Xenopus tropicalis: one gene and its partners. Each later gene encodes a partner of the first gene's protein in a complex. Links are inferred from orthologs where the notes say so. Each region holds a gene or a part of one and is shown in the gene's direction. Other genes may lie near its edges.

The links.
Region 2: crnkl1 (region 1) and cwc27 share a complex: the UniProt entries of both Homo sapiens proteins name them as parts of the minor spliceosome. The link is inferred for Xenopus tropicalis from reciprocal best matches to the Homo sapiens genes CRNKL1 and CWC27.
Region 3: crnkl1 (region 1) and armc7 share a complex: the UniProt entries of both Homo sapiens proteins name them as parts of the minor spliceosome. The link is inferred for Xenopus tropicalis from reciprocal best matches to the Homo sapiens genes CRNKL1 and ARMC7.
Region 4: crnkl1 (region 1) and rbmx2 share a complex: the UniProt entries of both Homo sapiens proteins name them as parts of the minor spliceosome. The link is inferred for Xenopus tropicalis from reciprocal best matches to the Homo sapiens genes CRNKL1 and RBMX2.
Region 5: crnkl1 (region 1) and snrpg share a complex: the UniProt entries of both Homo sapiens proteins name them as parts of the minor spliceosome. The link is inferred for Xenopus tropicalis from reciprocal best matches to the Homo sapiens genes CRNKL1 and SNRPG.
Region 6: crnkl1 (region 1) and rnf113a share a complex: the UniProt entries of both Homo sapiens proteins name them as parts of the minor spliceosome. The link is inferred for Xenopus tropicalis from reciprocal best matches to the Homo sapiens genes CRNKL1 and RNF113A.
Region 7: crnkl1 (region 1) and snrnp200 share a complex: the UniProt entries of both Homo sapiens proteins name them as parts of the minor spliceosome. The link is inferred for Xenopus tropicalis from reciprocal best matches to the Homo sapiens genes CRNKL1 and SNRNP200.

What each region holds. Positions count from the first base shown.
Region 1 is NC_030681.2:36,930,193-36,934,281, forward strand, and holds part of crnkl1 (crooked neck-like protein 1), read left to right. Parts: intron 1-457; coding exon 458-549; intron 550-637; coding exon 638-796; intron 797-1,075; coding exon 1,076-1,242; intron 1,243-1,436; coding exon 1,437-1,615; intron 1,616-2,059; coding exon 2,060-2,230; intron 2,231-3,102; coding exon 3,103-3,294; intron 3,295-3,643; coding exon 3,644-3,703; intron 3,704-3,993; coding exon 3,994-4,074; intron 4,075-4,089. UniProt on the Homo sapiens protein: Involved in pre-mRNA splicing process. As a component of the minor spliceosome, involved in the splicing of U12-type introns in pre-mRNAs.
Region 2 is NC_030677.2:188,225,920-188,230,667, reverse strand, and holds the start of cwc27 (spliceosome-associated protein CWC27 homolog), read left to right. Parts: upstream 1-1,475; 5' UTR 1,476-1,567; intron 1,568-1,647; 5' UTR 1,648-1,739; coding exon 1,740-1,781; intron 1,782-4,165; coding exon 4,166-4,262; intron 4,263-4,748. Other genes in the region: protein SREK1IP1, read right to left, coding at 1,282-1,294. UniProt on the Homo sapiens protein: As part of the spliceosome, plays a role in pre-mRNA splicing. Probable inactive PPIase with no peptidyl-prolyl cis-trans isomerase activity. As a component of the minor spliceosome, involved in the splicing of U12-type introns in pre-mRNAs.
Region 3 is NC_030686.2:44,365,990-44,370,685, forward strand, and holds armc7 (armadillo repeat-containing protein 7), read left to right. Parts: upstream 1-1,571; 5' UTR 1,572-1,643; coding exon 1,644-1,719; intron 1,720-1,723; exon of another isoform or gene 1,724-1,813; coding exon 1,814-1,978; intron 1,979-3,626; coding exon 3,627-3,979; 3' UTR 3,980-4,581; downstream 4,582-4,696. UniProt on the Homo sapiens protein: As a component of the minor spliceosome, involved in the splicing of U12-type introns in pre-mRNAs.
Region 4 is NC_030684.2:38,934,587-38,937,393, reverse strand, and holds part of rbmx2 (RNA-binding motif protein, X-linked 2), read left to right. Parts: intron 1-953; coding exon 954-1,083; intron 1,084-1,698; coding exon 1,699-1,873; intron 1,874-2,251; coding exon 2,252-2,583; 3' UTR 2,584-2,807. UniProt on the Homo sapiens protein: Involved in pre-mRNA splicing as component of the activated spliceosome. As a component of the minor spliceosome, involved in the splicing of U12-type introns in pre-mRNAs.
Region 5 is NC_030679.2:122,085,622-122,090,252, reverse strand, and holds the start of snrpg (small nuclear ribonucleoprotein G), read left to right. Parts: upstream 1-1,558; 5' UTR 1,559-1,585; coding exon 1,586-1,617; intron 1,618-2,231; coding exon 2,232-2,254; intron 2,255-3,062; coding exon 3,063-3,187; intron 3,188-4,600; coding exon 4,601-4,631. Other genes in the region: protein FAM136A, read right to left, coding at 1,074-1,160. UniProt on the Homo sapiens protein: Plays a role in pre-mRNA splicing as a core component of the spliceosomal U1, U2, U4 and U5 small nuclear ribonucleoproteins (snRNPs), the building blocks of the spliceosome.
Region 6 is NC_030677.2:156,458,077-156,462,804, forward strand, and holds the start of rnf113a (RING finger protein 113A), read left to right. Parts: upstream 1-1,619; 5' UTR 1,620-1,637; coding exon 1,638-1,728; intron 1,729-2,606; coding exon 2,607-2,680; intron 2,681-3,007; coding exon 3,008-3,115; intron 3,116-3,356; coding exon 3,357-3,464; intron 3,465-3,998; coding exon 3,999-4,108; intron 4,109-4,232; coding exon 4,233-4,339; intron 4,340-4,728. Other genes in the region: noc4l (nucleolar complex protein 4 homolog), read right to left, coding at 1,375-1,521. UniProt on the Homo sapiens protein: Required for pre-mRNA splicing as component of the spliceosome. As a component of the minor spliceosome, involved in the splicing of U12-type introns in pre-mRNAs. E3 ubiquitin-protein ligase that catalyzes the transfer of ubiquitin onto target proteins.
Region 7 is NC_030679.2:125,082,505-125,086,593, reverse strand, and holds part of snrnp200 (U5 small nuclear ribonucleoprotein 200 kDa helicase), read left to right. Parts: intron 1-201; coding exon 202-375; intron 376-827; coding exon 828-988; intron 989-3,133; coding exon 3,134-3,361; intron 3,362-3,784; coding exon 3,785-3,976; intron 3,977-4,089. UniProt on the Homo sapiens protein: Catalyzes the ATP-dependent unwinding of U4/U6 RNA duplices, an essential step in the assembly of a catalytically active spliceosome. Plays a role in pre-mRNA splicing as a core component of precatalytic, catalytic and postcatalytic spliceosomal complexes.

The sequences.
Region 1 (4,089 bases):
CATTTGCAGCAGTAGGGTGCATTTTATACAGATGCTGTCAGGTCCTCTCTGCAGCATGGAAGTTTATGTTTAATCTGTAGTTCTGTGTTATGATTGCTGAGCTGCAGATTGGCTGGCATCCTACAGTGCAAAATGCTGAAATGCAGGAAATGTACAGATGCCTGCTGCAAGTAAGGTTTTGGGGATATGATTCTAAAAGTTGTATAAAAATACATTTTGTTAACATTTTTTACATGATTACATACAGAAAAATTTAGAAAACAATGCATGAACACTATCGGAACTTCCAGAGAGTAATCTAAATGTTTTTTTTAAGGATATTATTGAGATATTCACTGCTGCCTGTGTCCATGATGATGTCTCATTCATAAATGAATTGATGTCTCAATTCAATAAATACAGGATATAATTATCTCTATTTAGAGTCGTAATGTTAAAAGTGGTGTCTTTCTTTCAGACCTTTGAAGATAACATTAGGAAGAACAGGACGGTTATTAGTAACTGGATAAAATATGCACAATGGGAGGAAAGTCTAAAGGAAATTCAGAGGTATTCACTTTTTTAATTAAATTGGCATAGATGGCTTAAAATTAAATTTACGCTTATTAATGATTTGAATTTTTTTTCTTGCTTTTAGGGCACGGTCTATATACGAACGTGCTTTAGATGTGGATTACAGAAATATTACACTATGGCTGAAGTATGCAGAGATGGAGATGAAGAGCCGCCAGGTTAATCATGCACGAAATATCTGGGACAGAGCAATCACTACCCTACCCAGGGTCAATCAGTTCTGGTAGGTTTGTCACTTTTCAAAGGAAAGACTATGCTGATTTATACATATAGGTAACCAAAAATAATTAGAAATATATGGAGTTATGGGGGTAACTTTTTAGTAAAGGATTTTGTGTTATAGGAGTGCTGCAACTTAAGGTCGATAATCCCTATGTACAATGTAGATAATATGTAGCTTGTTTCTGTCGTGATTTTATGTCCTTTAGAAAATTGATTGTGCTGTAGCATAAGAAATGTTTTGACCTTCGAGTAATAAAAGACAGTGCTTTGATGTTTGAAGGTACAAGTATACCTATATGGAAGAGATGCTCGGAAATGTGGCTGGAACGCGGCAGGTTTTTGAACGTTGGATGGAGTGGCAACCTGAGGAGCAAGCTTGGCATTCTTACATCAACTTTGAGCTCAGATACAAAGAGGTGGACCGGGCCAGGTCTATTTATGAGAGATATATCCTTTGTGTATAAATGTGATAAGTTACTATGTTAAGAAATTCTTTAGAGTGGGTGCTGTGATGTACAATAATGCCAACATTGCAACTAAAACCTATTTAGGGTTCAAGGGTTTCCGATATGCGATCCCTTACCTGTACAAAGTAAAAACATAAATATCACAGAAAATTTGATTCTTTAACATCTGTGTACTTGTAATTGTGCACCCTGATGTGAAGAACTGGATCAAATATGCTCGCTTTGAAGAGAAGCACGGTTATATTGCCCACGCACGAAAAGTTTATGAAAGGTCCGTGGAATTCTTCGGGGAAGATCACATGGATGAAAACCTGTATGTTTCATTTGCTAAATTTGAAGAGCATCAAAAAGAAGTGAGTTTTAATTTACTTTAGCCAAGCTGTGTTATTTTAAACTGTATTAAATTGGGAGACATCAATGGGAGCACATTTAATGAATTTGTCAAGGCTCTGTATATGTCAGTAATTGACCCTAGCAACTGTTTTCAGCTCCTTATCTTCTCCCTTTCCTGTGAGGTTAGATGTAGCTACTACTGTCTTATTGCATTAGAATAGGTTTAAAATCAAGTTTCTCTACATAAAAATGTGTTTACTCTTCCAATTTGTTTTAATTCTAAAAACTGCCACATTCCCAACAAACGGGTGAAATAGAATGTAATTTAGGTCCAAGGAGACCAGCCTGGGATGATGATGTGCTGTTTGTCATCTGGTGATAGAAGATGCAGATGACATCTGTAACTGTGTTAAAGTTCCAACAGGATTACATCCTATTCAGCATGTTTATTGTTCTCTACACAGTTTGAAAGAGTCCGTGTCATCTATAAATATGCTTTGGACAGAATATCAAAGCAACAGGCCCAAGAGTTATTCAAGAATTACACTATTTTTGAGAAGAAATATGGTGACCGGAGAGGTATTGAAGATATTATAGTCAACAAACGGAGGTTCCAGTATGAAGAAGAAGTAAAGGTAAGGGAGCAATATTTTATGCAACACAGAAAACACAACTAGGAGTAAGCTTGCAAAGACTAAAGCTATTTAGTTGACCAGGGTCAAGTAGGCTATACACGTACTTATAGTACTTAAACCAATTTAGGGTGGTTCTAGGCATTTGAACTGTTTTTAGTCTGTTTACTGCTAGATAATGTTGTTAGGAACTCTATTCTAGCAACGGAGCAATGTGTGTATAGTTTTAAGTAGATTTAACCGATTGCCTGCCATAGATCAAATAATCTTAAGTGCCAGCAGTCAAGAAGCTGACCTCAAACACTACAGATTTTTCTTTTCTTGATGTGTGTGACTGGCAACATGCCGCAGGTTAATTGCTTTTGAAAGTGACCGACCGACTTGCCCCTCTATCATTACTTTTATGGTGATAGTAAATCAGTACCCAAACACTGCTCTGCCCATAAGTTTAATGTGAAAGATCAGTTTAGCACACATGGCCCACAGTAAATAGAAATACTGACTGGCACCACAAAACTGTTTTGTTTTTTTTTGTTTTTTTAACATGTTTCTTATGGCATAACCTGAACAGTAGTCCTTGGGTAGTTTCCATTTCTTTGCATATTACAGTATATAAATTATTTTGAGCTTGCATAGTTTTTCTAGTCTGCACTGCACTATTTTTTGTATAGGATAGAAACAGAATAGGAAGTAACAAACACTTGTGCTGTCCGAATGTTTGTGACACAATGAAATGAGCTTTAAATATGTTCGTAATGAATAACACAGCTGCAGTTGGTCACATCTCATGCCAGAAGAGCAATTCAGCAATAGGTAACAAAATGGCACAAGATGGAGAAATCACTTGATAAATATACAAATGTCTTTCTCCCCAGGCAAATCCTCATAATTACGATGCTTGGTTTGATTATCTGCGGCTGGTTGAAAGTGATGCTGATCCTGACACAGTTCGAGAAGTTTATGAACGGGCTATTGCCAATGTCCCACCTACAAAGGAGAAGAGACACTGGAAGAGATACATTTATCTGTGGATAAACTATGCCTTGTATGAGGAGCTAGAAGCAAAGGTGAAAAAAATTGTAATCCACAAGAAACTCTTGTAACTGTGTAATAACCTAGCATCCTGCGCGCACCAGACATTCTTTGTCTGCATATTTACATTGAATTACACTGCACATTTTTGCCCGCTAGATGGCAGTTGTGTGTCAGACATCTCTTAATGCAGAAAACAGTCTGAAAAACATAGATCATATACACTTTATAAAGTGTGATTATTATGACTGGATCTGTTGCATTTCCTTTTATAAAAGCAGCGTGTTATAGGAAAAAAAGGAATAACCCTAAACCAAACCAAATTTTTTTTCACTTAGCTAATGGACAGATTTTAATGGTTTTTTTACATACTTTGAATTTCAGGACCCAGAGAGAACAAGGCAAGTCTACCAGGCCTGCTTAGAACTAATCCCTCACAAAAAAGTAAGAGTCTTTGTAATTGTTTGTTTTCCATGAGCCTTATGTCATTTTACGAACTAAATTCTAGTCCTAAATTTGAGGATTTGCCTGTAGCTAGGCAGAACAGCCCACTCTTCAGCCGCTGTGCACAACACCAGGTAGGGGTGAATGCTGATCTGCCTCACGTGATAGTAATGATCTCTGCACAGGAGTGAGAGATTTTGTTGTTTTAATTATGTCTTCAGCCATCTTGAATTTTAACTTAAAATATTAGGGCTCTTACTGCTACTTGTTAATCTAGTTTTATTTTACAGTTCACATTTGCAAAAATCTGGCTGATGTACTCACAGTTTGAAGTCAGACAAAAAAATCTTCCATTTGCAAGAAGAGCTTTGGTGAGTACCATCAAA
Region 2 (4,748 bases), on another chromosome or scaffold:
AATTGGGACATTTAAACTTGCTTTATTTTTTTTTTTTTATTCCCATTTAAATTTAGTAGGAGTCGGAGTCGGTTCATTTTTTGCCGACTCCGACTCCAGGTACCCAAAATTGCCTCCGACTCCTCGACTCCGACTCCACAGCCCTGCTGTTATCAGTAAATGATCAGCATTGTCTACTACAAGTAGCAGCTACTATTAGCTCCATGTGTCTTCACCCTAAGGGCTCTGGTACATGGGGAGATTAGTCGCCCGCAACACGGGAGATTTGTCGCGGGCGACTAATCTCCCCATGTACTAGAGCCCTAAGGGTACAAACCCACTGAGTGAGTTAGGAGAGATCTATCACATGTGAGTAACTGCTTCGAAAAGGCTTTCCACAGGTAACAATAGAAGTCGCTGGTGGAAAGCCCTTTGTATCGTTTCGTGTTCCGAAGTTGCACAAAGTTTCCTCCTGCAGGCAACTCTGCGTGAGTAGTCCTTTTTGGAGCAGCTACTCGCATGCGATATTGTGGGCAAGTAACTCGCTCGGTGGGTTCTTAGCCTAAAGCTGGCCATACACGGGCAGATCCGCTCGCTTGGCGATGTCGCCAAGCGAGCGGATCTTCACCCGATATCACCACCTACGGGTGGCGATATCGGGGAGGAATTTCGGTGAATTCGATCGTTTGGCCCTGGGGCCAAACGATCGAATTCTGCAAGCAGCAATGGGGCAGTCGGTTCGGGGACCACATCAACGAGCCGATGCGGTCCCCGGTCTGACAGGATTTTCTAACCTGGCCGACCGATATCTGGCCAATTTCAGGCCAGATATCGGTCGGCCAGTCCGATCGTTTCTGCCCCTGCACGGGCCGATAAGCTGCCGAGTCGGTCCAAGGGACCAATATCGGCAGCTTCTATCGGCCCGTGTATGGGGACCTTAAGAGCCTGAAGACAAAGGCAGAAACAACCGAAAATATAAAATGAAGACTAGTTGAAAAGTTGCTCAAAACAGGCTATTCTATAACATACTTAAAGTTTAACTGAAGGTGAACCACCCCTTCAAAAGCAGAAAAAAATGATGTCCTACGTATTTTGGGGACTCGGGCATAAAATAGCGGGGGATAAAACTAATTGGGTTGGGGAGTTGGGTTGTGTGCGTACAGTGTACAGTACAACATAATGCACTTTGCAGAGACTTTACACATGTCGAGTTCAGACTCGAGCCTGTATTATAAAAGTCCTCTCTATCAAAATCAGATGGATCAGGTGAGGTAAAAAACGTGATTTATAAATCAGACTAACCTGGGACAGCCATAAGTCACAATTCTCAGCGTCCGTACACAGAAGATCGCACCCCTCAAACAGTTACTGCGCGCCTCCTAACCAATTCACTTCCTCGGAACTCAATCACAGCATGGACTTGTTTCTCAGCGGAACAGAATAAGCGGTGCGCAGTGGAACGCAAATGAAAGCTCTGGTTTCCGGGAAGTGTACTTTCGGCCACACTAAGAGAAAGGGGGGAACTAAAGCAATGCAACTCTGGTGTAATCATCCTCTGCTGTAGACGCTGTGATCTTGGAGCATTCGGGTAACAAAATACGAGCTACTATATAACTGTGGATGGGACGAGTCCTGTTAACGCTCTTTGCTGTGTCATTTTTAAATCAGAATCTTCTCTGGCACCCCTCTGAGGCTGTATGTGGGCGGTCCCGTCCTGTCAGGTTGCACGCTGGAGTTTGTTTGCAAGAAGCTGAGTAACAATGAGCAATATTTACATTCAGGAGCCGCCGACAAACGGCAAGGTGAGCAGCGGGAGAAAGTAAGGGGCTTGTAGGGCAGAAGGATAAAGGAATAATATTTAGCATGGGATTCCCATCTGCTGTTGCTGAAATATCTCTCCCAGCGCGGTACCTGATAAAGGAAATGTAAAGTCTATAAGTAAATTTACTCAATGTTTTTCTGTGAAAATACATTTCCCAGGGTAAATGTTTTAGTTTCGCGTCATGTAGCTGCCCCCCCCAGCTGTCAGCACATTGGTATAATCCACATGGGGAGCAGAGAGGACTGTGCTGCGCTTTATGGAGACTCCTCCTGCATATTCAGCCCTAGGACAGAGCTTCTGAGCTGACTAACTAATGTCCTGCTAGGAAGGTGCCCAAATGCACCAGTGCAGGCTGTCCTTTAGTTACATGAATGGGCTCCAGGCGAACCCCAGCCACATATATAGGCTATATACCAAACTAACATACCTAAACTATATATACCAACATCAATACTAACTGTAGATATTAGTATCACAATAGCCTTGGATATTCTGCTTGTTCAAGAACTCATCCAGGCCCCTCTTATAGGCATTAACAGAGTCTGCCATTACCACATCACTAGGAAGGGCATTCCCCAACCTCACTGCCCTCCCCGGGGCGTGAGGAACCCCCTACGCTGCTTCAAATGGAAGCTCCGTTCCTAAGGGGGGGCCTCTGGTGTGGTGGTTGTTTTTATGGGAAAAAAAGAACCCCCCCATCTGCCTATATTCCCCTCTAATGTACTTGTACAGAGTAATCATGTCCCCTCGCAAGCGCCTCTTTTCCAGAGAAAACAACCCCAACCCTGACAGTCTAACCCCATAGTTTAACCCTTCCATCCCCTTTACCAGTTTAGTTGCAGTCTCTGCACTTTCTCCAGCTCATTAATATCCTTCTTAAGGACTGGAGCCCAAAACTGCACTGCATACTCAGGGTGAGGCCTTACCAGGGACCTATAAAGGGGCAAAATTATGTTTTCATCCCTTGAGTCAATGCCCTTTTTTTAAGCACTTTATTGTAGCCACAGAATGACACTGCCTAGAATTAGACAACTTGTTATCTACAAAAAAAACCAGATACTTCTTTATTAAGGATCCCCACAACACACTACTATTTAGTGTGTAATATTATTACATTATTATATTATTTCTACCCAAGTGCATAACTTTGCAGTTTTCAACATTAAACCTTATTTGCTGCCCAGTTTTCCAGCTTTGTCAGCTCTGCAAAGCGGCAGCATCCTGCATGGAACTTATAGTTTTGCACAATTTAGTATCATCAGCAAAAATAGAAACAGTACTTTCAATGTCCACCTCCAGGTCATTAATAAACAAGTTAAAAAGCAAAGGACCAAGGACTGACCCCTGCGGTACTCCACTAACAACACTGGCCCAATTAGAAAATGTTCTATTTACCACCTCTCTCTACACTGTAATCTATCCTTCAATCATTTATTTATCCAATTTAAAATATTATGTTCCAGTAGTGCTGGGCGGTATACCGGTATATACCGAACACCATTTTTTTAAAAAAAAAATGATAAAAATTTTTAACTTACCGGCATACCGGTGTGGGCGCCTCCTGGCAATTTTTCTTACTATTTCCGGGTTGTGCGCGCTGACGTCGCGCGTGCAACCCGGAAATAGTAAGAAAAATTGGGGGGGGGGGGGTGTTTGGGGTGGTCACCTAATCATGCATGGGGAAAAAAAAATACCGTCAAATACCGTGATACCGATATAATAAAAAAAATACCGTGATATAAATTTTTGGTCATACCGCCCAGCACTATGTTCCAGGCCAAATTTTACCATTAACTTTCTGTGCAGTACTGCTAAATGCTTTAGCAAAGTCCAAGTAGATCACATCCACTGCCATCAACTTGCTCACCTCCATATTGTTGCTCAATGTCATCCCATTTCTTTCTATATGATGTACCCATAAGTATCTCCTGAACTACGCTGTGATAATTATATATCTAGTTCCATGTAAGAGGTAAAGAAGGTCTACAGCAGTGAGCCCCAACCAGTGGCTTGCAAGGAACATGTTGCTCCCCAACCCCTTGGAAGTTGCTCCCAGTAGCCTCTGGCTTGGATGCAAATTTTGGGGGCATAAAGACCATGTGTACTGCCAAACTGAGCCTCCTGTAGTCTGCCCATCCACGTTGGGCTACCTAATAACCAGTCACAGTCCTCATTGTAACCCCTAGAAAACTTTTTCGTGCTTGTGTTACTCCCCAACTTTTTTATATTTAAATAATGCTCACGGGTAGGGTAGGATGTCCTGTGTGAACTTGTGTCATACTATATGCCACACGTGAAAGACAAAGGCAGCAAGAAGAGGAAGAAATCCTGCCCAAATAATAATTTTTACTACCACTTTTCCAGGTTTTGCTGAAAACAACTGCTGGAGAGATTGACATTGAATTGTGGTCAAAAGAGGCACCAAGAGCATGCCGAAACTTTGTACAGCTTTGTTTAGAAGGTAACGTTGCAAACAGAAACACACACTTGCAATAAAAGCCAGATTACTTCAGAACTTTAGAAAACCGTTGATAATGATGCCTTGCTAAGCTGATCCTTGCAACCAAAGAGAAAACCAACAGTGGCAGGCAATAATTTATTATTTTTTGCTTCTATTGGGTCATAGATTTGATTTTCTATTGATTTCCCCCTTCTTCTTCCCTTTTTAAATTGGGTAATCTATTTCACAACCCCTTATGCACTTTGTTTTAATAAATGTTATGCATTGTAGAAAGACATTTCACATTATTAAAAGAAGTGGAATCCCACTCTTAACGTCATGGGCGGCCGTATATGGCACTCAAACCATAGCTTAAGAACCCTTGCTTTATAGTGACACATTAACCTATGCTAAACTATGTGGGGATACAATAACAGGTGGCTAGTTTGCTCCAGTCCTGTGAAGCCAAAGCAAGAAATCAGTTGCAGGGGCATGCTGGTTTGTAAA
Region 3 (4,696 bases), on another chromosome or scaffold:
CTAGCATGTATGTGTGCCTTGGCTTGTTTGCAGTGTCGGACTGGGACCCCAGGGGCCCACTAGAAAACCTTAGACCATGGGCCCACTCTCCAAATTAATTTTCCTCCTTTCCTCACTAAAACCACTTTATTCTCCTAGTCTGTTTTATTTACATGCTAGCATCTATTCTTCCATCTATTTCTTCTCTTTGTTCCCATTCAGAAATAGGGAATGACCATGAATAGGCCAAATGGTGAGGAGCAGGAGGGCCCACTGACCCCTGGGCCCACCGGGAGTTTTCCTGGTATCCTGGTGGGCCAGTCCGACTCTGTTTGTGTGCACTGTGAATCCCAGGGGGATAAAAGTGAGTTATAAAATACCCTATATTTAGCATCTGTGCCACTGGTCTTTTTTTTTACTTATTTTTAAATTATTTGCTGCCTTTTTCTGCCTCTCTATGCTTTCAGGCAGTCAGCCAGCCAAAAAACTATTGCTCTGAGAGGCTATTGTTATTCAGTACCATATCTCACGTGGTTGCTAGTTTAAATATGACCCTAGCAACCAGATAGTTGCAGAAATACCAAACTAGAGACGTGTTAACATCCCAATTCCTTATGCACATGATTTATAGCCATTTTACCCCTATATACATGTGTGGCGATATAAAGAGTAGAAGGCCATTGCATATTTATATTTGGGCTGCTTTTTACCCCCAGTCTGGCCCTGCAGCTTGGTGTTTCCATTTAACGTTCAATTTTCAGTGCGGCTTGGGCAGCATGCCACCCTAAGGGCTCTGGCACACGGGGAGATTAGTCGCCCGCGGCAAAACTCCCTGTTCGTGGGCAACTAATCTCCCCGAGTTGCCTTCCCCTGCCATCCCACCGGCGAACATGTAAGTCGCGGGTGGGATGGCACACGCGGCGGCGCGATTTCACGCAAATCGCCGAAGTTGCCTTGCGAGGCTTTTTCAGCGATTTGCGCTAAATCGCGCTGCCGCGTGTGCCATCCCACCGGCCACTTACATTTTCGCCAGTGGGATGGCAGGGGAAGGCAACTCGGGGAGATTAGTTGCCCACGAACAGGGAGTTTTGTCGCGGGTGACTAATCTCCCCGTGTGCCAGAGCCCTTAATCTGTTCCGCCCCGGGCCTGGGCCTTTGTTGCCTGGGTGTCACGTGTTTTCTATTGAAACGAGTGTCTGGAGGGGCGGGGTCAGACGGTATTGCGCCAATACGGCCCGTGGGCCATAGTTGTAAGAATTGTGTGAGCAGCAGATAAGTACCACAGTCTTCATTTTTTTATCCTCTGAGGTTTTTGCCACTTTAGCACTTCTACACTTTCCAATTTCCTGCTACCAAGTTGCCAACCTGAAGAGTGAGTAGGAGAGGGTCTGAAGAGAAAAATACATCATAAATATATAAATCTCAATACAAAAGTATACTCATAGCATGACATTTTGTTTATTTCTATTGTTCCCACCCTCACACTTACCCGGGTAATTCTGCCCCTAACGCTACAGTTCCGCCTCAGCGCTTTGCGCCTCCCTCACGCTTCCCGCCCGGAAGTAGGACGAGAACTGGCACCCGACTTGAGGCTTCTGCCAGTACGGTGACATCACTTCCGCCCACCCGGAAGCGCAGGTACTGCGGGCTGATAGAGAGCGGGGATGGGTGACGGGGAGTCGGAGCGGTTTCAGTACCTGCAGACGTTGGTCACTGAGTTCCAGGACACGGACAGTGTCGGTAAGGGAGAGAGAGGGGGAGATTTAACCCCATTCAGTTTCGTTACGGTTGTAGTTTTGTACCAACTCTCCGCATCATTTCCTCTTCTCATTAGTTTCTCCCCTTAATTGCTCAGAAGCCAAAGAGCAGGTCCTGGCCAATCTGGCCAACTTCGCCTACGATCCCCGGAACTTTTCCGACCTGCGGAAGCTACAGGTGCTGGACCTGTTCCTGGATATGCTGACTGAGGGCAATGAGAACCTGGTGGAGTTTGGCCTGGGTGAGAGAATGTACTGAAGTGCTGAGCCCACAATGTGCCCCCATGTGTGGCAGGAGGGTCACAATATAATGCAATATAATCTCAGCTCCCACCAGCATCCTCCCCCCAGCATCCTCCCACCAGCATCCTCCAGCTCCCCCCAGCATCCTCCTCAGCATCCTCCCACCAGCTCCCCCCAGCATCCTATCCCAGCATCCTCCCACCAGCTCCCCCCCAGCATCCTTCAACTCCCCCCAGCATCTTCCTCAACATCCTCCCACCAGCATCCTCCAGCTCCCCCCAGCGTCCTTGCCAGCATCCTCCAAGCTCAGGGGACACATTGACTTGATGGAGGCCCTGAGTGTAACGCTGGCCCGAAATCACAGGCCTCTCAGCTCCCCCCAGCATCTTCCCACCAGCATCCTCCAGCTCCCCCCAGCATCCTATCCCAGCATCCTCCTCAGCATCCTCCCACCAGCTCCCCTCCAGCATCCTTCCCAGCATCCTCCAGCTCCCCCAGCGTCCTTCCCAGCATCCTGCTCAACATCCTCCCACCAGCTCCCCCCCAGCATCCTTCAGCTCCCCTCAGCATCCTTCAACTCCCCCCAGCATCTTCCTCAACATCCTCCCACCAGCATCCTCCAGCTCCCCCCAGTGTCCTTCCCAGCATCCTCCTCAACATCCTCCCACCAGCTCCCCCCCAGCATTCTTCAACTCCCACCAGCATCTTCCTCAACATCCTCCCACCAGCATCCTCCAGCTCCCCCCAGCGTCCCTACCCAGCATCCTCCCACCAGCTCCCCCCAAGCATCCTCCCACCAGCCCCCCTCCAGCATCCTCCCACCAGCTCCCCCCCAGCATCCTTCTCAGCATCCTCCTAAACATCCTCCCCCCCCCCCCAGCGACCTACAGCGACCAATCAGGAGTCAGCGGACCGGATTAAAAAGGCCAATGGGCCAGACATGGCTTGCAGGCCGTAGTTTGCCCACCCCTGATATAATGACTCCGCCCCAATCTCCAGTTGATGGACAGTATAGTGAAAGTGGCTATAGGTGGGCAGTGGGTAGATGCTTAAATTTTCTGCTTGATGACAGTGGGACGGACCATTGAAAAAAAGCCAGTGTCAGACTGGGGGCCCCTCACTGAGGGTGGAGGGCCGATGTTGCTGGCAGGGATCAGGCCTGGGTTGGTGGGGCCCACTGGGATTTTTCTCATTGTCCCAGTCTGTCCCTGGGAAAAGCCCAATATGCAACCTGGCACTGGAGGGGGGGGTGGCAGAATCAGTAGGTTTTATCAGCCCATCTATGGCCACCGTGTACCACCCCCCCCAACCCCTCGCCTGTCATTGGTCTCTGACAAACACGGCTCTGGTATATTTATCGTTTTCACTACAAACTTCTGTGCGATCCTTTTATACCCAGATAAACATCCTGTGTTGCGAATATAAACATTGGGTGCAGTGAAAGCCCAGTTATCTTGTATTAACCACTTCCAGCAGGACGGAAGGATATTGTAGGTTTGGGCAATATGTTTTTTTCCATCTTTCCTATGGGATCCCCCCCCCCCCTAAAAAACATGTCCTCAATTTCAATTGTGATCAAACCCCCTGTAGGTCATAATGTCTTTGAAATTGTTAGTTTGCCTTTAACCATTCTCTCTTTTCCAATAGGGGGTCTCTGTAATCTCTGCCTGGACAAGACTAACAAGAGTCACATACTAGACTCCGGGGGGCTGAAATTGGTCATCAATTGCCTGTCCAGCCGTCGGGAAGAGACGGTGCTTTCGGCGCTGACCACACTCATGTTCCTGTGCACGGCCGCCTCCCGCACTGAAGTGACGGCTCCTGCTGTGGTGGAGTGCATGGTGCGCTTCTCCCTTTCCACCAACCGCAGGATCAGCAATTTGGCCACCATCTTCCTGCAGGATTACTGCAGCGATAAGCAAGTGCAAGAAGCCAAAGAACTGAGCCAACATTCGGCATTGGGAATCCCGCTCCCTGAATCCACGCAGCACCCCATCTGACTCCCGTGTCGGACATTTGCACCCTACTAGAAACAGATGCAGCATGGCTGTTCTCGGAGTGTGACAAACTCTGTGTTTGAAGTGCTGGTCACTTTCATGATCATGAAACAAGTTTGGGAGACAAGTGCAAGCCTTGCCGGACTGCAGTCCCCTGCAAGATACTGTTCCGTGATTCAGTTATGGACTGACCCCATGGTCCCTCGTGTATTTATTTCTACTGTATTAAAATCATTAAAGAGGAAAAGCACTCGGTGCTGCTATCTACACTGCTATCCACTCTTCGTGAGTGGCCAATGGTTGGCGAGATTGTACAGTTGTGTTTCTTAGCTCTCCCCAGCAAAGCTTCATGGGTTATTCAGGGTCCATGAAAGGGGTGGGGGAACCTTATGGTAGGGGGTGACACTTGGGTGGATCATGGGGAGAGTTTTAATATAATTGCAGTGGATTAGGGATGTGGCTATGCATGTGAGGGGATTCATTTTACCTGTTTACAAGGCCTGGAAGCACAAGAGACTGGTGAGCTAATAATTGAGGGGGCCCTGCTAGCTTTTAAGTATGGGGCCCATGAATACCGATGCTCAAAGAGTCCAATAGCCAAAGATCCAAAACACAACCAAAATCTGGAAGGGCGGTGCACACACATATACCTCATACGTGCAACAACTACTTGATGATAGATACTGGCACCCCAATATTACACATTGTAACTCTACTGAA
Region 4 (2,807 bases), on another chromosome or scaffold:
AACTAGTATAACATGATAAAGTACAGGGGCACACCCTCTGCCCCACCTTCTTGAGACAGGACAATCAACAAACTGAATTGTAGGGGGATTTCAGACTCTGTCTCCCAAGATTGGAGCCTGAAGAGTTTCACTGTTTGTTCTGCTTTGAGCAGTGGCTCATCTAAACCTAGATGTTTGCATTGACATCGTGAATGGTAAGAAGTTCACTTTTCTGTTCTCTAGATTGGAGTCACAGGCACCATGGGATGATAAAGATCCTGAAAGCATTAAAAGTGACTCCTTTTTCTGCTCTAGGCTCTGTCTCCTCTCTTTCCTCAGATCCTTAGTTTCATTTTAGTAGTGATGCATCAAATCCATAAATGCAAAATCCTTTACAAAAGGCTCAACAGAACAACAAACCAAATACCATACTGTATCATAATATGCATATACAAATTTGTAAAAGATCACCATTTGTGAACAAAAAAAAAACATCATGACTTTCAGGATTTGGATTTTTTTTGACTACAGACTTGAGATTTGACTGTATGCTTTGTAAAGTTATAGGATTTGGTCACTTCCTAAAACGAATCAGGTTTTGGGAAACAGGCCATTCCTCTGGTTTCTTGTTCAGTGTTAGTTGCCTATACTTTTAGGCATGTTCTCTATTTTAGGTTTTACTGTTGTTGTTGGGTTTTATTTTGGGTAGAGGTAAAACATTTGACTCTGTGTAGGGTCTCCCCTTGTTCAGTCCAGGAAACTGAAGATCTGAGGGTAGCATGCTGGGGATAAAGCCTAGAGGAAGCGGAGTAGTAGCTACTTTTTAGTGTCTTTTTTTTCCATCTGCAGGCATGGTGCCTATCCTCCCAAATTTAAGAGAAGAGAAAATAATTTGTTATGATATTTTAAAAGTTTTTCCTACATTTTGTTTAAATTTACCAATGGCTGTGTCCTAATTGTTGAATATTCTTCAGGTATGGTGAGGTGGTAAATATTAATCTGGTCCGTGATAAATCTTCAGGCCGTTCCCGTGGCTTTTGCTTCTTGTGTTTTGAGGATCAGAGAAGCACTGTACTGGCCGTGGATAATCTTAATGGCATCAAGGTAACAAATAACATGTTACAATACTCATAGGGCTAAAGTTTATCCAGATGACTGCATAACCCATTATGTATTTTTATGCATGTGAGGTCCCTCTTTATTGTTTATTAGAATACAATATCATTGAGGACTCAGAGATACACATAGATGTAAGGGATTCCATTCGTGTTTACAATATTTTCTTCGCTTTTAGCAGCCACCTAAAGATCATTCAATAGGCTCACTAGAAAGAGTTCTTCCTATTATTGTTTATTCCATGTTTTTTTCTGTATTGTCCATCTCTTGCTTATGCTTTTGCTTCTGTGGTCCAGGTTCTTTGGGGTAACCTGTGCCTATGGTACTTCCCCCCCCCATAAAGATTGTTTTATATAAAATACAGGGACAGCTTCAAGGTCTGCTGCCGTTTCCCAGCATCCTGACATTTCACTACCTGTATTTTAATGATTTTGGCTACAATTTGAGAAAAACCCTGCAAAGAAGACCTGATAACCTTATATTACCACTCCCCAACCATGCCACTTATTCAACAGTGTTTTTGTCCTAAACATTTTTTTGCCTGTTACCAGAAAAGTGGATTTTAGTTATTCTTACTTTGGGAATACCATTCTGTTTATTCAGGTAAAGGGGCGCACAATCCGTGTAGATCATGTTGCCAATTATCGTCCTCCCAAGGATGCAGAAGACATTGATGAAATTACACAATCTCTTAGAGAAAAGGGATGTGGGGCACGAACGCCATCCCCAGTGTCATCCTCACAGGACGAAGACGAAGAGCCACCAAGGAAAAAGAAAGGTGTTTTATCAGTAGTTTTCTAATAGTGTGAACTCGTTACAAGTAGCAAGGGATGGATTGCTTATACCCCCCCCCCAAAAAAAAATACAATCACTGTTATGTTTTCATTAAACAGGAGAAGTATCCTAGAATACAATATTTTAATTTACCTAAGCACATTTAACCTTTCAAATTGGGGCCTTTTTTTTACCTATCATGCTGTTGCCTTATTCACAGCATTAACTAGTGATGGTAGCAGGAAAAATTATCATATTTTATTACAATTTCCAATTTTACATTTGCCATTATTATTATAGTCCTGCTGGTTGTTTACAGCTGATCTGTGTATTTAATTCTTCTGCTAAACTAAATTGATAGTTTTTTGTTTTTTCATGTTAGATAAGAAGAAAAAAAAAGACAAAAGCAGGAGGAAAGAGGAAGAGGGTGGCAACAGCAGGCATAACAAACAAGAACGTTTGGATTCCCCTTATGACAGATCCAGGACAATTGAGAAGTTTTCCAGGGTGGGAAGTGAGAGCTCAAGGGCCATGGAAGAAAACCGTGGCTCTCACAAAAAGAGTAACAGCAAAGGTGATTCCCATGATAAGTACAAAGAACAGCACAAGGAAAAAGAGGAACGCAAAGAGCGAGAACAACAAATGCCAAGAGATAAGTACAGAGAGCAGCAAGAGCAAAGATCAAAAGACAAGACAGAAAGAGGCAGAAGGTAGCAGAAGAGTATGCTTTATGGGGACAATAAGAGGTGGAACGTCTGTGCAGTGTTTAAGCCCAAGTTGTTATTAAATACATACTAAGGACCCTTGGTGTACAGTGTATGGAATGATGCATGGGAGAAGGATTTTAAGAAGTAAAAGGCAATTGTGATGTACTGGCCACTTTGAAATGGCAGGAGCTGAACCTTGCTATAATTGTTTGTCTGTCAAAAAACTAAATT
Region 5 (4,631 bases), on another chromosome or scaffold:
TTTGGTTTTTGTGATGGTTATTCTCGTAGTGTATATATATATATATCCAACAGATCATATTAAGTGGCCTATTAAACAATTTCAACATTAAAATATATGTATATAGGGATGCACCAAATTCACTATTTTCAGATTTGGCCGAACCCTGGATCCTTTGTTAAAGATTTGACCGAATTCCAAACCAAATTTGTACATACAAATTAAGGCAAGTAAGGGTTAAAGAGAACCCCACGCAGAGTGTGACAAAAAGACAGGTGTTTTTAAAAATTCGGATTTGGTTCGGCCAGGACCTTGGATTAGACTTAATCCTGCACCGAATCCCGGATTCAGTGCATGCCCTTGGTGTGTTTGTGTGCTACAATAGCAGGAGGCCCTTAATATATAAAATGGCAATTTTCTATGTAGGATTACCCAATAGCACGTGCTACTAAAAGAAGTATATTTTCATGCAATTTATTTAGAAGATGCAGGGTTTTACATCTGAGCTGTTTATGCAATATATTTTTATAGAGACCTACATTGTCTGGGGTATAGATTTCCTTTGCTAAGAGGCTTGGGCCACACTGTGGCTTTCAAACATAAGTTTTACTCATTTGAACTTTTTGCCCCAGTTTCTTTTTCCCCCAGTTTCTTTTTGCCCCAGTTTCTTTTTCCCCCAGTTTCTTTTTCCCCCAGTTTCTTTTTGCCCCAGTTTCTTTTTGCCCCAGTTTCTTTTTGCCCTACCCATTTCTGATGAAGTTTGCAGCAACAGTACTTGCGGTTTAATGGTAAGGAACAGAAACCTGAACAGAAAGATAAGTCCCTGTGCTAAGCAAATGTAGCAGGAAAACTAGTATGTTATATTAAAGGACAAGTAAAACCTGGTATATAAGGCATCCCACAGCCATTAGTCCTGTACATTAAAAATGACCAATTCCTATTGGACCCCCAGGCATTTGTGCCCCTTCCATTCAAGTGCATGGGAGTGCTACCCCAGGGGGACTTTGAATGGCAGCAGAGTATAATAAAAGAAGTAATGGAAGATGGGCTGTAACGCCCTATGACATAAGACTAATTACACCAGACTATGGTACCTGCATTTTCCTAATGTTGTCCCTTTCCAAGCTCTTCACCATAGTGTCTATCGCATTTTGAAGCCGGTTCTGCTGTTCCTCTGCCATGTCTGACAAGCGTGTGCTCCAAGGGCAACGCACCTCTCTTCCGCCCTTACACATACCCTTCCGGTTACGGCTTGCCCTTACTCTAACTCTACGGCATCTACGTTGTTTTGCGGCAGACATCTAAGCTGACCGACTAGCTTCCATAGCCCCAAGTTTTTGTTAAATTCTTCTATAACCAATCAGGGAAAACGTATATATGTAATCAAATTTGCAATATTTCTTATATACTTTAATATTTGATACACAATGTTATATTTAGCCCAACTAAAGCCGGCTAACGCGTCTCCTTTGTATTCTTTGGTGGTCGTCATAGCGACCGTGGGGGTGGGCGGGGAAGCGCATACACGTAAGACGTGCTTACGTCACATTAAGGCGACTGCGTTACTTGGCGGCAGCGACCGGGGCTTTGTACACGAGGAACGAAAATGAGCAAAGCGCACCCGCCCGAGCTGAAGAAGTAAGGAACGGCCCGGGGGGGGGCAGTGAGGGGCAGAGCGGAGGGGGCAAGTGAGGGGCAGAGCGGAGGGGGCAAGTGAGGGGCAGAGCGGAGGGGGCAAGTGAGGGGCAGAGCGGAGGGGGCAGTGAGGGGCAGAGCGGAGGGCAAGTGAGGGGCAGAGCGGAGGGGCGGCTTAGGCTGTAGCCGGGGAACATACACCCAAACCTGCAGCCTCCATTGCGCTGTTTCATGTTGAATGGCCCGTTTTGGAGCATGGAGGCTGCAACCACATCATTCACACAGAAAGAAATGGGGATCTTTTCGATTCCCACATATCTTCCAATTATATTTTGTGGTCAAACTGATTGATTGCCCATATATTGCAATATACTCCAAGCTGGCCAACTACATCAGTCGCAGTCATAGGATTCATTAAGGATTCTAGTATTTCATAATGTGCACATGGATCTCTGGGAAGAGTGAAGTAGCTCTTATGCCTGATACTAACCCTATAAGGGAACTGCATTGGCTTCTCTTGGGTCCCTAGTCTAGTGATCTGAGCACAGGTGATTAGGTCTTGTTGAGTTATTATTATAATATAATGTATTTAAATGTTGTGTACTTTTTACTTTTAGGTTCATGGACAAGAAACTGTCTTGTAAGTATTGAAAAATTTTCCATCTACTTGTAAAAAGAAAAAAAAATAAAGGAAAACTATACCCCCCAAACAATGTAGGTCTCTATAAAAATGTTTCATAAACAAGCTCATATGTAAAACTAAATTAATCTAAATAAACCATTTTCTTAAAAATATTATTTTTTTAGTAGTATGTGCTATCGGGTGGTACTAAATAGGAAATTGCCATTTTATGAATTAAGGGCCACCCCCTGGGATCATAGGATTCACAGTGCACACAAACAAGCCAAGACACACATACATGTTAGGCCCCATCAGCCAATGAATGGGCAGAGTTCTGCCTTTTGCTCCCACACTACTCCCTGTTACAGTCAGAGCTGCATTATTTCCTGTCAGCTGATCTCTGAGGGAGCACACAGCCCATCACTAAATGGTGGCTCAAGGGAAAGGATGTAAAAGGGCAATATTTACTAATATATATTCCAGTTTGACAATATTCTTTAATAGGCCACTTAACAAAATATAAACTATCTGTTGGTTAAGTATTCGTTCTGGGGGTATAGTTTTCTTTTAAAAAATAAAAATATATATGATGAGGTCTGTGCTCGGACCTTATTCAGGTGCTTGGCCAAATAACAGTGTTATTTAGAATAAGAAGCAGCAGAGAGATGGTGCAATGAAGGATTTATTCAGGATACAGGACTGCTGTTCCTCACTCTATATAAATATATGCAGTTATAAGGGAACTGTACCAGGTGACTCCCCAAACCAGTAAACCACCAAAACCTTGAAGCATCTGATCAAATTTCCTTTCTTTTCTTTCTTTCAGTGAAGTTAAATGGTGGGAGACATGTCCAGGGGATTCTGCGTGGCTTTGATCCCTTCATGAACCTTGTAATAGATGAGTGCACAGAGATATCAGGGGGTGGCCACCAAAACACCATTGGAATGGTGGTAAGTGTTAGACTGAGCTGCAACATATATTGTATGGTCCCTTACTGTGTGTGTAATTTAGGGTGGCCGTTCATGGTCAGATTTTCCAATTTTTAAACTAACATTTGAGGACAACGCAACGCAAAATATAATTTTTTGCCTAATAAAAGAAAACAGAATTCTCAGCTTTGCAATATACATTTATTACAAATTTGTAATGGTTTTTGAGTTATTTGTATATATAATTGCTATTAGAAGCAGTGTTTGTCTGTCCTTTTCTATTCTCTGCCCTGGTGGCTCTGGCATTTGAAACAATGTAACACAAGGCAGCCAACTGACAGACCTGACTTGGGGAAGGAGACTGACTTTTGCAACATTGTTTAAAAAGTAACCACCAGGAGTTCGGCAAATGCTGCTTTCAATAGCAATTACATTTACAAATGGCATTTAATCATACAATGTTATCCACAGAGAAGTAGCACGTTAAAGATGTCGTCATTTTGTTGCCAAAAGGTAAAGTAATATTGTGCATCTACAATGCTATATCAGCTTGTGGCGGAAGCAGTATAAACAGGAAGTGATGTATTTTTCATCAATTTTTATCGATATTGGTATGCTATTTGCTATTACAACAAGTGAACGAATGAGTTCTGCTTGTTTGTAATGTGGCTGGTTGCCTTGGCTTGCTGGTATTGCAGCAAGGTATTCTTTTGCCTGTATTTATATTTACCAACAGCATGCACATGACTTTTCATAGTGTTTATGTGGTTAAAATGTAGGGTTGGCAACAAACATTTGGGTCTTGTCATATGCGTTCGTTGACTTCTGCAGGTACTGCCAATATATGCACAGAAAGCGACTGTTCAACGACAACTTTCACACCAACTCTTATCGTTGCCCAACTGATATTTTTAAGAATGTTGGGCCAATTAGTAAATTCTTACATCTAGAATTGTTTGTACACTACCAGCTATACAGTTTGTCCTGAAATCAGTCGTGAGACTACAAAATCTGAGCATGTATGGCTGCATTTAGTGGAATATGGTCAGATTATTAGCAGCTAATATTGCAAAGTGTATTGGCTTCTGTGAAGTTCAGATTAAATAATGACTAATCGGCTGAGCAGCTTTAGTACTTTAAAGATGGCCAGTTTAAAGAGAGGGATCTAGCCCATGTTTTCTGGGTAGGATGAGTTCATTGTTTTATTATATGCACAGTGCATGGCTACATACATCAGTGCTATGTACCACATGCATTTAAGTTAATTGCCATTAAGCCCAGCATTGTGGGATTTCTGTGTTCACTAGGGATGTACTGAATCCACTATTTTTGGATTCAACCGAACCCTGAATCCTTCATAAAAGACTTATTAGAATTTGTTGCATTTATTAAGGGGTGATATATGTGGTTAACCTTTCTTTTTTTGCTTTACAGGTAATTCGAGGGAACAGCATTATAATGCTGG
Region 6 (4,728 bases), on another chromosome or scaffold:
TTTCATTATACATTAACATTAAAGTGATAGTGCAGCAATTAGCATAAATAATGCCACAATGTGCATAGATTTGTTTAGGTTTGTTAAAATAGCATAAAAGATAATAATTTATAAGATAATCAAAAACAAGTGCAAAGTGAATAAAGCATGGTTTTAACAATACAAACACATAGTTGTGCAAAACAGAACAACAAGGCTCAAGCTCCCTTTAGAAGACCCCTGTGTCCAGGAAGAGGCAGCAGCGGCACAGTGGACACAGAGATCATATGTGGGGGGGGGGGGGGGGGGGGGGGTTCAAATTGGAGAAGGAAAATTCTAGCTGGTGGAACAGTAATCCTGTAGAGGAGCATTGTCACATGAAGACGCTGGCAGAGTTCCGAGAAGGGAACCACTATCAAGTAAGAGATTTAACGACACATTAGCTTGCATGCAAGTATCTAGAGAATTTTTAAAGACCTCTAAGTTGCTCTCAGGAGTACATAGACTGTGATTACTATGGGGAGGAATATACAAGCTGTTACAGACCAAACAATAATCACAAGGGAACAGTTCCTGTGTGACTGATTCTATACCGTAATATAGGAGAACTGAAACTCGCAAACACATTTGTTGTTCTGTTTATGGAGGGGGTGAAAATGTGTGGTAATCGGAAAAGTGAGAGTCAGAAGGTTGCGGGGGATAAAGGGGAAAGTTAGGAAAAGTGTGAGATCAAAACAGAAGGTCCTGAATGAAAGGGCAGCGGAGGTAATAGGGAAAGCAAATGAGAAAAGACAAGAGGTTAGAAAGAATCTTTCATGGAATTGTCGTTGCTACTAGAATTTTCCTCTCCCATTACCCACAACTATGTATTCATGCCATTCTGTTTTCCCTGCACCACCCAGTGCTGATTCTGACTGCCAACAATTCGGCCTGATGTACCAGCAGTTCCACTCTTTTCAGACCTGAGCATTCAATCTTAGCTCTGCCCACCGCTGTCACGCCTTGCCCACCTGGCCCTGTCTGTAGGCTGCAGTCTTTTCTAAATAAATATTCAGACAGGATCTTTCTTGCTGATTAATAATAACATCAATTATACGTTGAGTAGGCTGGTAACCTTAGCAATCTGATATGTTACCCTCGCTAAAAGCTCTCTCTCTCTGCAAAAATGTAATTTTTCACATTTCCTTTTTTCCCTAATGGCCATCTCCCATCTGTCTTTTTCTATCACTGGTTGCCGAGCCCTGTTATAAGAACTTTAAAATACTTCCAGTCACACTGTTTAGACGTGCATACTGTCACACAAAATGTTGTGTTTCTGTTTCGTGCAAAAGATGTTCTTCTTTGTCAGGGCTGCTGTTATACTGTTTGCTAGCACACTGCAAAGCGGGCACTCACCTCCAGATGTTCCAGAATATCAAACACCGCGTTGGCATTGGTTCTACTTCCCAGTACTGCTGCGAGTTTGCTATCCAAATCGTGGCGCTCGGCATCACTTTGCTTGGCAAAGCTCGAACTCACACGTTTCGCTTTGCGCGCTGCCATCTTGCTACTGGAGCAACGCGACTTCCCCCCGGTAATGCGCCTGCGTGCGCTTTCTAAACAGGAAGTGGCCTCAGCCAATGCGCGCAATCTGGAGCTAGTCTGGCGTCACAGGAATAATGGCGGACTCTAACGCACCAGTTTGCAGTTTCGTGTTTAAAAAAAGTGCCCGAAAGTTCGCGGGACGGAAACGCAAAGAATCGGACAATGGTGAGACAAGGAGAAAGTGGGAGTGCAAATAAATGTTTATTATAATATAGTATTATAGGCATTACACGCTTACCGTGTATAAAATTCAGCAAAGTGTTGGGATGGAGTAAATGAGTTAAATGCAGAAGAGAGCGCAGATACAACTAATTGCGCAAGTGTTGTTGCTGTTAGCAACCAATAAGGTTTTTGCTTTTATTTTCAAACGTGTATATTGGCCAACTATTCGACTTTGTTCCTTACTCAAAACCACTATCTTAAAGGAGATGCAGGTGAGGGTGGCTGTATTGTTTGCTGGATATAATTACCATTAGAAATCAGTAGCATGTACCAGGGAATTAAGGTCCAAATGACAAAACAAAAATCAAACCCATCAAAGTATTTGCAAAACATTAACAACAACAAATATAATTATACATACAGCCTCATTTACTGTTCATTGGTACAGGTATGGGACCTGTTATCCAGAATGCTCAGGGCCTGGGGTTTTCCTGATAAGGGGTCTTTCTGTAATTTGGATCTCCATAACTTTAGTTTGTTAAAAATCATTTAAATATTGAATAGGATTGTTTTGTCTCCAATAAGGATTAATTATATCTTAGTTGGGAATCAAGTACAAGATACTGTTTTATTATTACAGAGAAAAAGGAAATCATTTCTAAAAATGTGAATTATTTGATTAAAATGGAGACTATAGGAGATCCGTAATTTGGAACTTTCTGGATACAGGTTTCCGGATAAGGGATCCCATACCTTTATGTCACTGGGCTCACATGCATTTGGTGTCTTAAATTTATCGAATTTCAGAATAGTACTTAGATGCATCTGTTGTATAAGTGTGTTGTACTATTCTGATCAGTCCTTTACTGATTTGTTTGCAGAGAGCAGCGAGGAAGAGAAAGGTCCAGTGATAAGGAGGATAAAGAAGGATGTGGTTAATCCCATGATTCAGAAGGTTAGAGTCACAGGTATTCACTATGTCACCCTGAGGCCCCAGGAGCATTAAGGAGCTTTATAAAATTTTCTGCCAGTTAATCTTTCAGAGTGGGCAGCAACACTTCTCCCAGATATTTCCTGTAGACCTCTCTGTTTAGAGATATAGATACCACATCATCTTCTCCTGGCAGCTAATGGCTGAATGGAAGCACAACACATGCCATAACCCTCTCCAGCCTGTCACCCTGTGTGCAGGACAGACGTTAACATGCCACAGAAGGGATGTGTGTAGTGTTTGTCCTCTTGAGCTTTCTGGTAGTTGTATTTACCTCTGTGTGTGATTTAGAGCAGGCAGCAACCAAAGGACTGTGAAGATTACAAAGCAAGCAGCAGTGAAGATGAGGACAAAACAGCGAAGTCTATCACTGTGTCTTATAAATCTACCCGATCTGCGGTAAGAGACTCTTTTGGAATTGGCTTATTCTTAGCACAGGCTTTATGTCATAAATGTTAAAATCTTTGAAACCCATCATCAGTTAGTTCTTTGTGATATTTTATTCAGTTTGTGAATCAGCCTATGCTGTCTGTCTTGTTTCAATATAAATGATGCATTGAAAAAAAATCTGTATTTATAGAATGACATGTCTAAGACACCCCCCATTTCTTACTATGTATGCATTCTTTGTTTCTTGCAGAAACCAGTAGGGCCAGATGACATGGGAGCCACAGCTACATATGAACTAGACACTGAAAAAGACAAGGATGCTCAGGCAATTTTTGAGAGGAGCCAGAAAGTACAGGAAGTGAGTATTTAGTATGTGATGCAGTGGATTATATATTCACCTTAAACTATGAGAGAACCACTAAAGCAGAGAACCCCAACCTTTCTTACTCATGAGCCACAATCAAATGTAAAAAGACTTGGAGAGCAACACAAGTGCCATAAAAGTTTGTGGAGGTGCCAAATAAGATAGGTAGCCTCTATGCACACCATCAGCTTACGAGGCTTTATTTGTTAGCAAATCTTGTTTTTATTCAACCTAAACTTGCCACCAAGTCAAGAATTCAAAAATGAGCACCTGCTTTGGGGGCAGTGAGAGCAACATCCAAGGGGTTGGTGAGCAACATGTTGCCCCCGAGCCAATGGTTGGGGATCACTAAGGAATGCAATAAGTGTTAGTAAAGCATGCAGTGTTCTGCATGACTTACATGCAGTTTCTTTAAAAATTCTGTGCTTTTTTTCTCTTCACTTTACTTTCTTTAATATTGTAATACTCTCCTTTTCATAGATGACACTCTGTTTAGTTCCCACTATTTATTTTGCTTTAATCTGACAGGAGTTGAAGGGGAAGGAAGATGACAAGATCTATCGAGGAATCCACAACTACCAGAAGTTTGTGAAACCCAAAGATACCTCTATGGGCAATGCATCCTCTGGCATGGTTAGGTACGTGTACCCCTCCCACTTTCCATTCTGTTTTAATTTAGAAACATTTCACTTTTCAATCAACTGGGTGATTAAATCCTAATAGTTTAGTCTGCATTGATAACTTTAACTTTTATCATTTTAGGAAAGGACCAATACGTGCCCCAGAGCACCTCAGAGCCACAGTACGTTGGGATTACCAGCCAGATATTTGCAAAGATTACAAGGAGACTGGGTTCTGTGGGTTTGGAGGTCAGTTGCTGGATTGTGTTGTACCCCTTTCCATTAAATGTCTGTTGTTCCTTTGGCCCTTTTTGCCCATATTTTATTCTCTCTTCCCTTACTATTATTTATTATGTAACACTGCAAGTTTTACTCACAGCTAGTTTCACTTATACTGGGCCTAATTTAAGTACACAAGTATGAGCAATTACCCATAGCAGCAGTCAGTTTTTTACTTTTATTTTCTAACTTGTGGACTGATTAATCTTATAGCTGGCTTCTGTTAGCAAAGGAACAGTTTAGCTTCCACTCATATTTGCAACCTTCTGTTTCTGCACCCAAAGTCACTGTGTTGATGAAACCCTTGAGTATGCATTTCTGTGCTGAAATCCACTCGCAGTGGCTCCGGGTACAGACAC
Region 7 (4,089 bases), on another chromosome or scaffold:
CTAATTCATATGTAACCCTTTTGCACAATAGATAACACATTACGTGCATACTGTAAACTAAGTTATCCTTTTACTGTGTCTATTAATCAAACAAAAGCAACTACCATTGGAAATCTTGTCTCTCTATGTCAAAATGGAGCAATGTTGAAGAACCGGCAAATTGTCTACAAATTTGTTTTTCTTTTTTTCGCCTGTTGGCAGCTTGTGAAACTCAACTCCCAGTCTCTTTCCGCCATCTGATTCTTCCCGAAAAATACCCACCGCCTACTGAGCTGCTGGATCTACAACCACTGCCAGTTTCTGCCCTTAGGAACAGTGCATTTGAGAGCTTATACCAGGATAAATTTCCTTTCTTTAACCCTATCCAGACCCAAGGTGAGAGGACATTGTCCCCCTCTTTAGACTGCCTTATTTACATTTTAGCAGTAGTTTTCTATATCTGATCATTGAGTTAGTTGAGACATGAGTGAGCAGCCTGTAACTGACAGATGCTGAAGTCAGCAACTTTACTTGTTGTGATGCCTCAGGGCAGTTTTAAAAAAATAAAGTACATGTTAAAATTGTACTTTTTATAAAATGAACGAGCATCTTAGGGAATATTTGTACCACTCATTGTGCTGGCTGTCAGTTGGGTAACTTTTGTTTCCCGGGATATTGCTTTAAAACTGTTGTCTTGTATTTAAATGTGTGCCCTGTAGCCCAGTAGCTGTAACACAGCTGCTTAATTATATTAACTAAGTAGTGTTTCTGGAGCAAACATACACCCTACACTGGTAGAACTGTATTAAATATAAATCTCCCCCGTCCTTGTTTTTTTCCCCCCACAGTTTTCAACACAATATACAACAGTGATGATAATGTCTTTGTGGGAGCTCCCACAGGAAGCGGGAAAACCATTTGTGCAGAATTTGCCATACTCAGAATGCTGCTTCAGAATTCCGAGGGCCGCTGTGTTTATATAACTCCTATGGAAGCTCTGGCCGAACAGGTATGTTCGTATATACAAGCTGCAAGAAATCGATAAAGGCTTATAGAGTAGGGGGTAACTTTGTTTTACCCCTTTAGCTCGTATATTGTTCATAGATCATATACAGTTGTGTAAAGGTATAAAGCTGCAGTAACGGTGATCTCTGTTCATAGACCTTTGTACCCTATACTAATCACTCATTTTTATATCCTGTTAAAACTTTTTCACCAGTGTTTCAGTACAGGTATGGGACCTGTTATCCAGAATACTCAGGATCTGGGGTTTTCCAGATTAAGGGATCTTTCTGTAATTTGGATCTCCCTACCTTAAGTCTACTAAAAAAAAATAATTTAAACATGAATTAAACCCAATAGGATTGTTTTGCCTCAAATAAGGATTAATTATATCTTAGATGCGATCAAGTACAAGGTTCTGTGTATTACAGAGAAAAAGGAAATAATTAAAAAAAAAACAAAAAACTGAATTATTTGATTAGTGGAGTCTATGGGAGATGGCCTTCCTGTAAATTGGAGCTTTCCGGATAACGGATCCCATACTTGGACATGTTTTTCTTGCTTCCTCTGGGATGTAATGTTCTTTTCCAATTTTTAGCGTGGATTCCTATTGTTCTATGAATATAACTTGTGACTTCAATCTCTACCTCCAGAGACTCTTACAGCTTAACTTTCCTCTCAGAGGGAGATGTTCCAGCAAGTGCTGAACATTTTGCAGTAATTAGATATTTTTGGAGGGTGCACAATTTGTATTTGTTCTAAAAGTTGTTTCCAGAAAGTGGTACACACTTAACTCATTCCCCTCCCACACACACGCTTGCAGCACAGTCCCATTACCCCATTACTTATGTGCTTTCATTAGTGCTCGCTGTCAGCTGCTAGACACGACTCATTTATGTAAATATATGCTAAAAAAGAAATCATAGCGCTTTACTCCTCTTCACTGTTCTTTTGCTGCCTGCGGAAATATTCTTTGTTCTTTTTTTCCTTTATAAAGTGCTGCTCTCAATATTCACAGTTAATTAGAAACAAAGTTAAAGAGGGATTTGTATTTCCATTTATTTCTTTATTAGTAAAAATTGTGCTGTATGCTCACTAGGAAATGTGCAGTTTCTTATCTAGAGAACGTATGCCTACCTACCTTGGCAAGAAAGGAAACTGGCCATGCAGGGTGTTCGACTGATTGATAGACAGCAAGTCTCTTTACATTGCTACATTTCTGCATTAATAACGAAGAATTAACCAGTATCAGCGACTGATATATGTGGTTGTTCATCTGTTTGAAACTTTATATCAGTTCAGTGTGTCAGGTTGATACCATTTATCCATTTTAAACTTCACTTGGTAACCCTGGTGGGATACAGAGGGAAAGGTTTGGATGAAGTCTGCTTATTAAAGTCTGGGTAAACTAGATTGAAGCTAGTTCTTGAATCCACTCTTTGTCTTACTGTCTTAAAGGAACAGTTCAGTGTAAAAATGAAAATGGACAAAATAGATGGACTGCGCAAAATAAAAAATATAGTGAGGCAAAAATATCATCCATAAAGGTTGGAGTGGGCAGATGTCTAACATAATAGCCAGAACTCTACTTCCTGCTTTACAGCTCTCTAAGCTGTTAGCGGTCAGTAACCAATGAGTGACTTGAGGGGGGGCCATATGGGACATAACTGTTCAGTTATTTTGCATTTGAATCTGACCTGTGTGCTCACAAACTAACTCAACAGTTATGTCCCATGTGCCCCCCCTAAAGTCACTGACTGACTAAGAGGTTAGAGAGCTGAAAGCAGGAAGTAGTATTCTGGTGATTATGTTGGACATCTGCCCACTCCAGCCTTTATAGATTACATTTTTGCCTAGCTAACTATATTGCAAACATGTTTTATTTTGCACAGTCTATCCATATTACCCAGTTTCATTTTTACACCGAACTGTTCCTTTAAGGTTTTTATTTTTTCTACACCATAATAAGAACCTAATATGGGCCCCAGTGTATAATGCCCAACTGGTAGTTCACTTCACCAAAAATCATAAAGTGAAAACCAGAAGGATAATAGGATCTTGGGTAAAGCTGCATTTAGGCGTTTTAGACAAACTGACTTCACTTTTGCATGCTTTGAATACTAATAAGTTTGGCCTATGTATGTCCATCTAGGTTTTCATGGACTGGTTTGAAAAGTTCCAGGACAGGTTATATAAGAAGGTTGTCCTGCTCACTGGTGAGACCAGCACTGATCTGAAGCTTTTGGGTAAGGGGAACATTATTATCAGCACCCCAGAAAAGTGGGATATCTTGTCCCGTCGATGGAAGCAGAGGAAGAATGTGCAGAATGTCAGTCTATTCATTGTAGATGAAACTCACCTCATCGGGGGAGCCAATGGAGTAAGTGAAAACAAAATCCAGCTTTTTTTAGTTGGGCAAGGGCTATATTGAGCCATGGATGCATATGATGCACAGGACTCTATTGAGATCCTATAACTATTGTTCACCAATCAGATCAGCCTGGTTGGGTTAAACACTTGGGTGGCCAAACGAGCAGATCTTTGCATGTTGCCAGCTTAACTTTGCACTGTAATACAGATGAAGCATTGTAACTTTGTGTGTAAAAGTAAAGCAGTGTAGTGATAATGGTTGTAAATTTTATGGACTGAATGGGTCTGTGGTATCTCACACAACAGAACCACTAATAATGCTCCTCTGTAAACTGCACAAATGCAATCATTTACAGTTAGTTTAAAAGCTGAACAGTCATGTAAAATGGGTAGGATTGGAGATTTCTAAAGCAATATTTCCTTCTCTTTGCAGCCAGTTCTTGAGGTAATTTGTTCCAGAATGCGGTACATCTCCTCCCAGATAGAGAGGCCTATCCGTGTCGTGGCCCTAAGCTCCTCTCTCTCCAATGCCAAGGATGTTGCTCACTGGCTGGGTTGCAGTGCCACCTCCACATTCAACTTTCATCCCAACGTGAGGCCTGTTCCTCTGGAGTTACATATACAGGTACTGTGGGTCTGATACATATTTTGTATATTCTGCCACCAAGGCCTGCAAAAGGCTTCTGATACAATGGCAGCTTTGTAGCATTATGGCTGTTGGAAATGTATTGGACTTAC